Rhinolophus ferrumequinum: one gene and its partners. The protein of the gene in region 1 purifies or fractionates together with the protein of each later gene. This does not show direct contact. Links are inferred from orthologs where the notes say so. Each region holds a gene or a part of one and is shown in the gene's direction. Other genes may lie near its edges.

Region 1 (3,743 bases):
GCCCTCCCAACCTAGAGTAGGGAGAGTAAGCACTTTGGAGAGCGCTGGATAAATGTTCTCTCTCTTGCAACCCAGCCTCTCCCATTCTCCCCTACCCGATGGTGGGTGTGGTTTCAGCTCCTTTGGCACTCTGATAGGCAGAGACCACGCAAGCACATACTGTTTTACTGGGGACAACAGCATATACTGTTTTACTGGAGGAAGAAGGTAGATCCTTTTTAAATTCCCTTGCTCCCATCTTATTTTAGTTTCCCATAGTTTTAAATTTTAAACCTCAAACTCTCTCAATTTAACCTCAGGAAACCTCAATTTAATTCAAGCCCACAAAAATTATTGGTTTGGGTGAGGTTAAGTACTACAAAGACGATTAGGCTGTGTCCCTGCCTTCTATGAGTTCCCAATCCAGACTGCATTCGGAAAGACAAGCGTGGTGAGCAGGGAGTGTATATGAGGGGTGGGAATACTGAGGGCACTGGGGCAGGGACCTCACCCCGCGAGCTGCCTTATAAACTCGAGGGCAGGGTCTGGGGCTCTGTGCCACTGGGGCTTAATGCTGAGATGGCACTCCCAGGCGGCTGACATGAAAGGAACCTCATAAAAGGGTCAGCGTCATTAGGGTGATGAACCAGGTGGTGCCTGGAGATCCAGAGAGGATGAAAGGCGTGGGGTGAAGACGCCCTGCGTTCCCCTAGCTTGGCTGGGCAGGGCTTCCAGGGGCCGATGAAAGCTAGGGGAACCGGGCTCAAAGTGTCTCTTCTTGCTTTTCCCAGGAGGAAGCTGTGGACACACTCCAAGATCGGGAAGGTAGTAGTGTGGGGAGCGCTCTTTCCCTCCAGAGTCTTGGGTCACTGGGTCCCCACCCAACTCAGACTCCCTCGAGACGCTACAGGATTGGAAGTTGCTATGGCAACGAGGTTTTCGGCATACTGAGAAAAGTCAAGGCTAGAGAGGCGACCCCTCCTGTAACCCCCTTTCGACCCACGGGTAAAGTGGCGCCCCCCACGTACAAGAACTGTCCCTGGGCCCCCGCCCCGGCGCGGAGATCAACGTGGACCTCCGGGGGCGGGAGGCCGCTCTGGCCCGAAGCGGAGCCTCTCGTTGGTAGACGGGCCCGAGGGAGCCCCTCTGGGCGCAGCGTCTCCGAGCTGCTCTATGCTCCGACCGGAAGTGCTCTTCACCGCCGGCCTCCCACCCGGCTCTCTGGTCTCGGCGGTAAGATGGCGGCTGCCGCGGAGTGCGATGTGGTAATGGCGGCGACCGAGCCGGAGGTGCCCGACAACGCAGAAGCGAAGAGGTAACGGGGTGGCAGTGTAGTGGAAGGGGGGAGCTTCAGCTCCGTGGCTCCGGGCAACCGGTCCCTGCCAGGATGCAGCCCCTAGCTGTTGAGGAGATGCCCCGCCCTCCGCAGACCCCCCCCCCAATCTGAGATCTAGTCCGGATGGACCCCCTGAAGGGGCGCTCTCGGAGGTCGGTCCTCCTCTCCCGCTTCCGCCTGGCCGGGTTGCTGAAGCACGGACGGCCTCGTTCTCCTGCAGAGAGGAAGGTCCTTATGGTGGAGACCTGGTCCCTGAGGGTATCTGAGGTCTGTTGCGGGGTGGGGGAGGCGGCGCGGCGACAATGTCAACTTCCTTACATTGCCTCTTACCCCCCCGCCTTCTCTTATTAACTTCTGTGCATTGTTGTCTATCAGCATTTAGCATCTCCACAGCTTGTGCTCTCTTTACTCGTTTTCGTCCGTAATTGTATCTCAGGGAGCACTAGCCGGGGTCTGAGGTGATTGTGTGTCTCCATTGTTGACCTGGTCGCCACCCCCTCCCTGTTAACCCAGAAGTCGAAGATGATAGAGAAAGAGGAGTGAGGGGCTTGTTTCACGCTGTACACGTCAAACTCCTCTTCCTCCATCCCTCCGTGTACCCTTCCGAGTTACATCCGCATTCTTCCCTGGACTGGGCTTTCTTATTTTAAGCAGCAAGGAGGGCAGCACCTTGGGCGCTATTGGCACTACCGGGCAGCCGCAGGGGCTCGAGATTGCCAGTCCCGACTAGCCAAGGCAGCTGCTGAGTGAGTGTTTTTCGAGAACACTCTGGATTCTGGCTACAGCTAAAGCAGGTTGTGGGAAATGGGGTTGGAACACAGTTGTGGGTAGTCATACTTGTCCTAATCCTGAAGCAACATTAAGGAAAAGGTTCTGGAAGTTTGGAGCCCTTATCAGCACAGATTGTCTACAATCCCCTCAGTCTCCTTCCTACAGATTTCATGTCTTTGTACCAAGGCCATTTCATTATGTTTTCAATCTGGGTGATTTGAAGTTTTGATGCATGAGATCTGAAATCAGGATTCTGAGATTTTTTTTTTTTTTGCTATCCAAGTTAGAAACATAAGTTAGACACGTAAGAGGTATTCAGTGAGGCAGAATGAATAGTTACCAAGCTTAAGGATAGTTACTGCAGCCAGGGTTCCAAATTCCTGACCTGTTGGGAGCTGAGAGGCTTGACAAAGTATAGGTCCGTGGGATATCAGAGAAGTCAGGGTACCAGAGTCTAGTCTTTCTTATTAGTTTTGAGTCTTCACATCTGTCCTCCTTCTTTCCAGGTATTTAGAATTCAGCAGCATCAGCTTCATTAAGGAACTGCAAAATGGGAAATAAAACTGCCCCCAACACAGAGCCTAAATTAATTGTAAGGATTTATTTCATATGGAAACAGTTTGGGGTTCTTTGTGCTATTATTAGGGTCTTGGGCTGTTACATAATTGAAAAAAACTCATTTACTCAGTGTAAAGCTGTGATGTAGGGATTGTCCCTAATTTGGATTCCTGTTCAAAGTCCCCTATCTAAAGCAAATCCTTTTCCTTAAAAAATAAAATTATGGCCTCACAGGATATTCTATCATAAAGTAGTATATGAACCTGAGCATAGAACTGGTAATGCGACAATGTGACCACATTACACAAAAGCATATGATATTTGGTAGCAGTACAACCAAATAAGAGAGAATGTTGACTTACATTAACTGCCTTATTTCATGAAACTTAAAATGTCATTAATTGTAAAATGCACAATTGTTTTTTCTACCACTAAGAAAAAAGAACTGTAATTTAAAAATAACTATAAAAAATGCATTCTTACCAAATAGACTTATATGTTATACATATTTATATAGATCTCTTTTAGGCATAATAAGACATAGGTGTTTATCATATACCACTTAGGTGAACAAATCAAAAGGAAAATATAGCGAAGTTAAAAAAAAAATCACGGTTTGACTTTCTGCCATCCTTCAGAAGGTAAATGTTGGGATCTTTAGTAAGAAAAAGCCTTGTTATGTATGGTTTTCCAATGCTGAAAATGGAATGGGAATTTAGAAGTTTTGGGGGAAGGTTGTTTATATTTCTCACGTATCTTGGAATCCTATGTAGCCATAGCAGAGGGCAGAGATGGGGACATCCCTTACAAGTGCCCTTCACTATCTGGTTTGGTTTGTCATTTGACCAAGTCATGTCTCTCATTACAGCCCTACTACCAGTTCACTCGGGGACACTGAGAGTTGATGGGCCTCTTGGGTTTTTGTGAAGCTCAGCAGGGATTCCTTCCTTCCTTGCTTGTAGACTCAGGGACATCCTGCTGTGCTACTAAATTGTTACAGTTCCGCAGGGGGCAAAATGAGAGGAGCTTTCAAGACACTAGACCTCATGATGACAGCATTTTAAATGGCTACATGTTTTATTTCCTTAGCTTTAGTATC
Region 2 (3,743 bases), about 19 Mb from region 1:
GGTCTGTGCCAGACATGGCCCGTGACATTAAAAGGTTTGGTTTCTTTTACAAGGACTTGGTTCAGTAAGTTGAGACCATGAACTAGTTGAGCTCCATCTCCGCCCTCTGCCCTTACTCCACTTCCGTTGCATTGATTCCTTGAAATCTCTCCAGAAAGTAGACAAATGATAAAAACATTTCAGTCTTATCAAGGTAGTTGGGAGTAGGGTGGTAACAGTCTGGGAAGAAAGAAGAAAGGAAGTGTTAGAAATCAGTGCAATAAAGGGAACAGATTGGCCACGATGAATGAGAATAGGGAGATGTGTTGCCAGGTTCCCCTCCTTGGCTCGGACAGAGTTTGTTGGGCCTTCCCTGAAGGTTCACAGACAGAACATACCCTGATGGGAAGTTGCAGATTATAAGGAGGATAAAGGAAATACAGTGCTTGAGAGATACGAACTAGAAAGATGGTGGAGCCCTGGGGAAGATGTGAAATGACTGATGAGAAGACTAGAGAAGGAAAAAAAACAGTTGGAGGGGTAAAAACTTTGGGCAACCTAGGTGAAATCTGAAATGGTGCTTGATCTGAAGGAGTGGAAGAGTCTCTGGGTAAAATCAGATGTTTATGGAGATTAGGAACTGAGAGCAAAGGTATGTGAACTATTTATTTTGAATTCCTCAATTTTTTTTTAGCTTGTATTAGCCTCACAGAGCTAGAATTGGAAGGGACCTTTGTCTAATTCCCTCAGAGAAAGAAACGCAAAATTAAGTTGGCCCAATTCTCTATTTGGTGTAATTATGTTTGCTTCCCAGGTAAACTGTTGTTGAAGGGCAAGAACAATATGGTCTACTGCTGTGGTGTCCCTCCCGCCCAGTGCCTAGTTTGCACTATGCACAGTACACACTGAAAATTTCTCCAATGAAGGGTCCAGAATGTGCTGCCCACACAGTAGTTCAATACAAATCAGCTGACTGCAACAGTATTCAGTTAATGAATTAACTCATTCCTTAGTGGATGTAATGAAGTGGGATTTTTGAGTGCGTATAATTAATTACCTCTTGGTTTCCTCCTCCATGATTTTCAGACAAGGTCCCTTAATAAGACAGGAGAGCTACTTAGACCTAGGAGTGTGATCTTCAGCAGTGTCCTCGGTCCAGGCCTTAAGTGGCCAAACCGACTAACTTTCCCTGGAGCGTGCTTTGCTAGTGGAACTCTCCGCGGCCAACATGAGCCAGCCAGCTCCACCGCCAGCTAGGGAGCAGGTTAGACCCCAGCCCCCACGCAAGCCCGCGGCTCCACATTTCCCGGCGCGGAAGGGTGCGCCCCGGAGCGGAGCTGGCGTGTCAGCCTGTGCGAGGTCCGCTCCCCCGCGCTCTCCTCCCGGAGCCACGCCTGTACTTCGCACTTGCAGCCAGTCGGCCCTGCTTGATTGCGCGCGCCGGGCGGGGCTGGGCTAGGAGACAGCTGTTGGCTGGCGGGCTGCGGGGGGCGGGGCGCACGCGCGCCAACGCTTCCTGGTCCCGTGCTATCCCTGCGCGCGCGGCTGGTCGGCCCGCGGCGGCGCAGCACGGAGCCGGAGGGAGGGGGCCCGGTAGGGCGGGGGCCGGAGCCAGGCCGGGCCTGGCCGGGGCCGTAATGACCCTGTTCTTAGCCGCGCTGTTGGCCCTGCTGTTGGTTGTGCTGTGCGCCCTCTTCCTAGGCCGGTGAGGGGATCCCGGCTACGGCGGGGTTAGGGCGGGGAGTGGGAGGAAGAGAGACTGAGGACCGGGCGCGCGCTGGGAAGAGGCGTCCGGGACGGGGAGACGAAGGGGGAGAGGGCTGGAAGGGACCGTGCGCGGGAGGCGGCGGGAGAGGGGTCGAGCGGGGGCGCAGGCCGGAGCAGGCGCGGAGGAGCTGGGATTGGGAGAGACTGAGGGAGCAGCCGAGGCCTGAGGAGATGCTGAGGCTGGAGCTGAATAGATGTGTGTGTGAGGAAGCAGCCTGGCTCGGTGGTCTCCCTGTCCCCTTTACACGCCCGAGTGTCCTCTTCACCGAGCGCAGAGGGCACCTGCAGCCTCGCCCTGGGAAGCCGGAACAGGTCTGGCTGCCCAAGGGAGAGCGGCATTGGAGCTGGCCCGGTATGACCCCACAGTGCCTTCTTTCGGACACATGTCTGGAGGGCGAAGACAGAGATCCTTTGGGGAGTGTGTGATGGCACATCTGACACGACTGCCTGCACTTCGACTCCTAGTGGGTCCTCCTCTCTCTACCTGTGGGCTTCCTCAAGATTTGAGGAGTTGCTTTCTTTGTCCCCAGTTTAGAAGGTGGAGTTTAGTTTGTCTGATTTCACCTGGGTAGAGGGGATACTCTGGGGGTAGGATTCTGATGAGTTGTGGCCCAATGTATCTAACAGACTGGTGTGTTTGGAGACAGGAGAGTTGCCCAGACGATCCAACTTCAGGACTTGATCCTTTGCAAGGGCTTCTAGAACCAGCCAGGGGTGAGGGACACCATAATTGGGAGAGGGTCCTGTGAACTCACAGGGATTTTTCTGCAGGTGGCTTGTTGTCAGGTTTGCCACCAAGTGGTGTCAGCAGAAGCTGCAAGCGGAGCTCAAGATTGGCTCCTTTTTTTGGATCCAGAATGTCAGTCTTAAGTTTCAGCAGCACCAGCAAACAGTGGTGAGTCCTGGGAAAATCCTTGGCTATGTGTGTGTGGGGTTGATCCAGCCGAATGTCAACCCTTAATTTTCCTTTTTAAAAAATTCCGTGTGACTTTCCTAGTTAACCGTGTCTTGCCACCTCTCTGCCAAGATGATCTTAGAGTTAGCTTGGGAACGCTGGGATTGGTGTTAAGTTAAACATGCTTATCAGGCACAGTGTCCTGATAAGATACAGAAGTAAAGCACAGAACTAAGATAACAGGAAATAAAAGAGCTCACTGTTCTAATTTAAGAGGGGAAATGGGGCAACCTATCCATAAGAAATACTAACATCATTTGAGGAGCAGGATATAGTGCTGAGGAGAGAAGCTGGTGGAAATGGAAGGGAGAGTATTTAGGGGAAGGGCTATAACCCATCCTCCTCTTCTTAGAACCTTTCCTGACTTGTCAAGCTGCTCATGGCTTACATCGCAGCTAATGTACAAAGCTTTCTCCCATCCTGTTGTAGGAAATTGATAGCCTGTGGATTTCCAGCAAACTCCTTAGTTATGATCTGCCGTGAGTACCTACCTTAGATCCTCACTATTCCCTTGGGGAACATTTTGTGATTGGGATTTGCAGAATGACATTCTCCTGTAGAGACCTTACAATCCGAGAAGGGCTGTGGGTTCTTGGCTTGATATCTCCTGGTCAGCCTGGAAGTTATTATCTTGTGAGATAGATACTGATAACTGTCCTCCCTGATGTGAACTACATTTCTAAGGAGGCCGGGAGGGGCGAATGTGAGGGAGGGAAAGAGACTGCTATGGAAGGGATGGACCTGAAGGCAGTGAAGTTTCTCTTCTGGGCAGACGCTATGTGGCATTGTGCTTTGGAGAAGTACGTATCAGAACGGACCTACAGAAGGTTTCTGGCCTGTGTGCTCCATTCTCCCAGAGCGCTGGGGTGCATCAAAAAGAGCTGTCCTTTAGCCCATCCTTATTGAAGATCTTCTGCCAGGTGAGACGACAACTTCCACTTTCCTGGACTGTACTAGGAATGGCTGGCTTGGGAGTCACAAGTGGATTTTTCTACTATCGGGGTGCATAATACTAAGAGCTGCCTATTATTCTTTCTCCGCT
Region 3 (3,676 bases), on another chromosome or scaffold:
ACGCCTCCTGAAAGGAGCTCCGCCCCACGCCGCGAGGGGCCACCCCCAGGTGAAGCCCCGCCCCTAGGAGGCGGGCCCGCCCGCCGCTGTTCCGCCCCCCACGTGGAAGCCCCTCACCGCCAGCTTCCACGCCAGCAGCCGCTCTAGCTCTTCTCGTGTCACGTGCTTCTCCGCGCGGCCCTCAATGGCCATGGGCAAATCCTCTCGGTACCTGGGAAAAGGCGGTGACGGGGAGTCCGGGCAACGGGGGTCGCCCGCCCTACCGATGCCCCCATCGCCCTACCATCGATCCAGGGCTTCCAGTTGCCCCCGGGGGCCCGCGCGCGCCCGCAGCACCTCCCCGTGGCGCGCCAGGATGGCGGCCCAGCGGCTCGGGTCCTCACAGCCCCACAGCCCGCAGGCGACCGCCATGTTCAAGGGCCGGGTCTCGGAGGGGGCGGGACCGGCCGCGGGGACGGGGCCTCTGATGGGCGTGGCGGGCCGCGCGGCGTGAGTCGGACCGACTTCTGGAAGGACCAGCCCCGAGTGCGAGGGGCGGAGCCACCTGGGCAGCTCTCGGCTCTTCTCCAGACTTCCGACGTCGTGGGTCGCGTCTCCCCGAGCGCACACTTCCGCTGGCCCCCCCCACAGAGCGTCGGGCGCACGCGAAGTCCCTCCCACTCGCGCGTGTCCGGCCGCCCCGCTCGCTCCGCCCCGCCCCGCGCGGCCGGAAGTTCCGGTGGCGGATCGCTGGACCGGGCCCGAGCGGATCGCGGTCTCGGGCTGCGGGCTCGGGCTGCGGGCACAGGGCGGGCCGGGCGCGGAGCCTGGGAGCGGAGCCCAGGCCGTGCCGCGCGGCGCCATGAAAGGCAAGGAGGAGAAGGAGGGTGGCGCGCGACTGGGCGCCGCCAGTGGAAGCCCCGAGAAGAGCCCTAGCGCGCAGGAGCTCAAGGAGCAAGGCAACCGGCTCTTCGTGGGCCGCAAGTATCCGGAGGCGGCGGCCTGCTATGGCCGCGCGATCGTGAGTGTGCCCGCGTCGGGGGTGGGGCCGGCGCCCCGGCCAGGGGAGGGGGCGGGGCCTGCCGGGCCTGCCTGGCCGCCGCCGCCAGACCTACCGAGTGTCTGGGCCCGGACGGGGGTGGCGTTTGGGGTCTGAGGACTCAATGGTGATCTCGTTCCAAAGGGGCCGAAGCCGCGGCTCTCGAGCCCCCCGCCGGAGAACTATGGCGGGTGAAAGCTTCAGGGTGCTTGAGGCCCTCAGAGCCCGGGAGGCCAGGGATTTCCACAGGTCTGGGAAAGTTACCCTTACAGAACCTACTGGAGTCAAGAGGGTGGGCTCGGGCAGGCCTCAGGACCAGACGCCACCTTCCAGCCATCCTCAGGATCCAGGAGCTTTGAAGCTGAGAAACCTAGATACTAGCAGCTTTCCAGCCGTGAACCCCACGCCAGGACAGGCCTTAGGACTGCGGGGGCAGGCTGAGGTCACGCCCTCATGCTGACTGGCCGGTCCTGGTCCCCAGACCCGGAATCCCCTGGTGGCGGTGTATTACACAAACCGGGCACTGTGCTACCTGAAGATGCAGCAGCATGAGCAGGCCCTGGCCGACTGCCGGCGTGCCTTGGAGCTGGACGGGCAGTCTGTGAAGGCACACTTTTTCCTGGGGCAATGCCAGCTGGAGATGGAGAGCTATGACGAGGCCATCGCCAACCTGCAGCGAGGTGGGCCTCCGGGCTGGCAGGGTGTGGGGGTGCCCGGGGCCAGGCGGGTGGACTGGCCAGCGGATGAGCTGAACTCTATTCCCTCAGCCTACAATCTGGCGAAGGAGCAGCGGCTCAACTTCGGAGATGACATTCCCAGCGCTCTGCGCATCGCCAAGAAGAAGCGCTGGAACAGCATCGAGGAGCGACGCATCCACCAGGAAAACGAGCTGCACTCCTACCTCACGCGCCTCATTGTGGCTGAGCGGGAGAGGTGGGCTGTGCTGGCAGGCTCCAGGACCCCCCACAAGTCACCATTCTTGAGTCACGAACACAAGTATTTATTGAGGGCCAGCACTGGTGAACAGGAGACAGACGGGGGGATGAGGCCTGAACAAGCCCAAGGTTGGGGTGGAAGGTGACCTTCCCTAGCCAGACCTCTCTGACCCGCTCCCGGTCAACCCTCAGGGAGTTGGAAGAGTGTCAGCGGAACCATGAGGGTGATGAGGACGACGGCCACGTCCGGGCCCAGCAGGCCTGCATCGAGGCCAAGCACGTGAGGGTGCCCCGGCCCCCACGTGGGTCTGTGTGTGTTTGTGTGCATGTGACGGGGGGTGGCCCTGGCTCCCGTGGGGTCTGAGTGTGCCCTCACGTGGGTCTGTGTGTGTTTGTGCGCATGTGACGGGGGGGTGGCCCTGGCTCCCGTGGGGTCTGAGTGTGCCTGTCTGGGGAAAGCAGATGTGGTGTCTGGCCCACGCGTGGCTGCTTGGCTCTTTGCAGGACAAGTACTTAGCAGACATGGATGAGCTCTTTTCTCAAGTGGATGAGAAGAGAAAGGTGAGTGGTGTGTTCTCTGGGGCCTGTGGGCGGCAGGAATTGGAGCAGCGTCCGCTTCCTGGTCCCTAACTTGCTCCTGTGTGAGGCAGAAGCGGGATATCCCTGACTATCTGTGTGGCAAGATCAGCTTTGAGCTGATGCGGGAGCCGTGCATCACGCCCAGTGGCATCACCTATGACCGAAAGGACATCGAGGAGCATTTGCAGGTGAGGGACTCACAGGCGCTGGGGGCAGGGCCTGGGCCCACTGAGCACCGTCTGACCCTGTTGTCACTGCAGCGCGTGGGCCACTTTGACCCTGTGACCCGGAGCCCCCTGACCCAGGAACAACTCATTCCCAACTTGGCCATGAAAGAAGTCATCGACGCGTTCATCTCCGAGAATGGCTGGGTGGAGGACTACTGAGGCAGGGCCACTGGCCCCACCTTACCTGACACCCTGGCCCAGGAGGGCCTTGGGGCGATAGCCCCCAACCCCTGTACATAGTTTGTGCCCCTGGATCCCTGCTCTGGTGTCCCCACCCCATCCTCCATCAGGTCTGCTGGTTGGCCATGAGCCTCCCCGTCCCCCTTCTGGGCCAGAAACAGCAGGCTAGGGTGGCTTGGGCTGAGGTTGCTGCTGCCACCACTGTCCCTGTAATAAAACCTGTGAGCAGTCATAGGGCTGTGTGCCGGTGTGCGATGGGACTTGCCAGCTGCCTGCTCTGGCTAGCTGAGGAAGGTGGAGATGAAGACACTGGTGTCGAGGTTGAGTGTGGCGTGCCACCATCGGTCAGGGAAATATAGCACCTGGATGGGGTAGGGCACAGGGATGAATTGGGGGCCCTCAGCCCAACCCCGCCCCCTCCTACCAGTGACTGACCTCACCAGCCTGGATAGTACATTCCAGGGGCCGTGCCGATGGCGTCAGGGTTGGGTACGTGTCCCGGAGCCAGGACAGTGTGGTCTTGTTGGGATGGAACTTGGGTGTCTTCTCAGGGGGATACAGGAACCAGCGCTGGGGGTGGAAGCAGCAAGGTCACTCTTTGTGCTGTGGTCAGTGAGCCCCAAGTCTCAGCCACCACCTTGTGCTGACCTTGCGGCCGTAGATCACCTCTGAGAACCCAGGCCCGTGCCAGTGGAAGGGCACCCCGGAGCCAGCTCCTGTGGGGGCAGTTATGAGTA

Evidence for each region.
Region 2: the proteins of DNAJC7 (region 1) and BLTP2 purify together in Homo sapiens (co-immunoprecipitation; 3 studies listed by BioGRID and IntAct, counting the BioPlex papers as one, with this or other methods). This does not show direct contact. The link is inferred for Rhinolophus ferrumequinum from reciprocal best matches to the Homo sapiens genes DNAJC7 and BLTP2.
Region 3: the proteins of DNAJC7 (region 1) and STUB1 purify together in Homo sapiens (affinity purification with mass spectrometry; 3 studies listed by BioGRID and IntAct, with this or other methods). This does not show direct contact. The link is inferred for Rhinolophus ferrumequinum from reciprocal best matches to the Homo sapiens genes DNAJC7 and STUB1.

Annotation. Positions count from the first base shown.
Region 1 is NC_046304.1:37,894,552-37,898,294, reverse strand, and holds the start of DNAJC7 (dnaJ homolog subfamily C member 7), read left to right. Parts: upstream 1-1,144; 5' UTR 1,145-1,217; coding exon 1,218-1,294; intron 1,295-1,563; exon of another isoform or gene 1,564-1,582; intron 1,583-3,743. UniProt on the Homo sapiens protein: Acts as a co-chaperone regulating the molecular chaperones HSP70 and HSP90 in folding of steroid receptors, such as the glucocorticoid receptor and the progesterone receptor.
Region 2 is NC_046304.1:18,800,579-18,804,321, forward strand, and holds the start of BLTP2 (bridge-like lipid transfer protein family member 2), read left to right. Parts: upstream 1-1,518; 5' UTR 1,519-1,616; coding exon 1,617-1,684; intron 1,685-2,517; coding exon 2,518-2,641; intron 2,642-3,130; coding exon 3,131-3,180; intron 3,181-3,473; coding exon 3,474-3,621; intron 3,622-3,743. UniProt on the Homo sapiens protein: Tube-forming lipid transport protein which binds to phosphatidylinositols and affects phosphatidylinositol-4,5-bisphosphate (PtdIns-4,5-P2) distribution.
Region 3 is NW_022680357.1:2,625,562-2,629,237, forward strand, and holds STUB1 (E3 ubiquitin-protein ligase CHIP), read left to right. Parts: upstream 1-841; coding exon 842-1,000; intron 1,001-1,499; coding exon 1,500-1,698; intron 1,699-1,785; coding exon 1,786-2,014; intron 2,015-2,145; coding exon 2,146-2,233; exon of another isoform or gene 2,234-2,291; intron 2,292-2,366; exon of another isoform or gene 2,367-2,457; coding exon 2,458-2,514; exon of another isoform or gene 2,515-2,603; coding exon 2,604-2,720; intron 2,721-2,792; coding exon 2,793-2,918; 3' UTR 2,919-3,171; downstream 3,172-3,676. Other genes in the region: uncharacterized protein LOC117019799, read right to left, coding at 118-211, 284-843; JMJD8 (jmjC domain-containing protein 8), read right to left, coding at 3,221-3,301, 3,375-3,509, 3,588-3,655. UniProt on the Homo sapiens protein: E3 ubiquitin-protein ligase which targets misfolded chaperone substrates towards proteasomal degradation.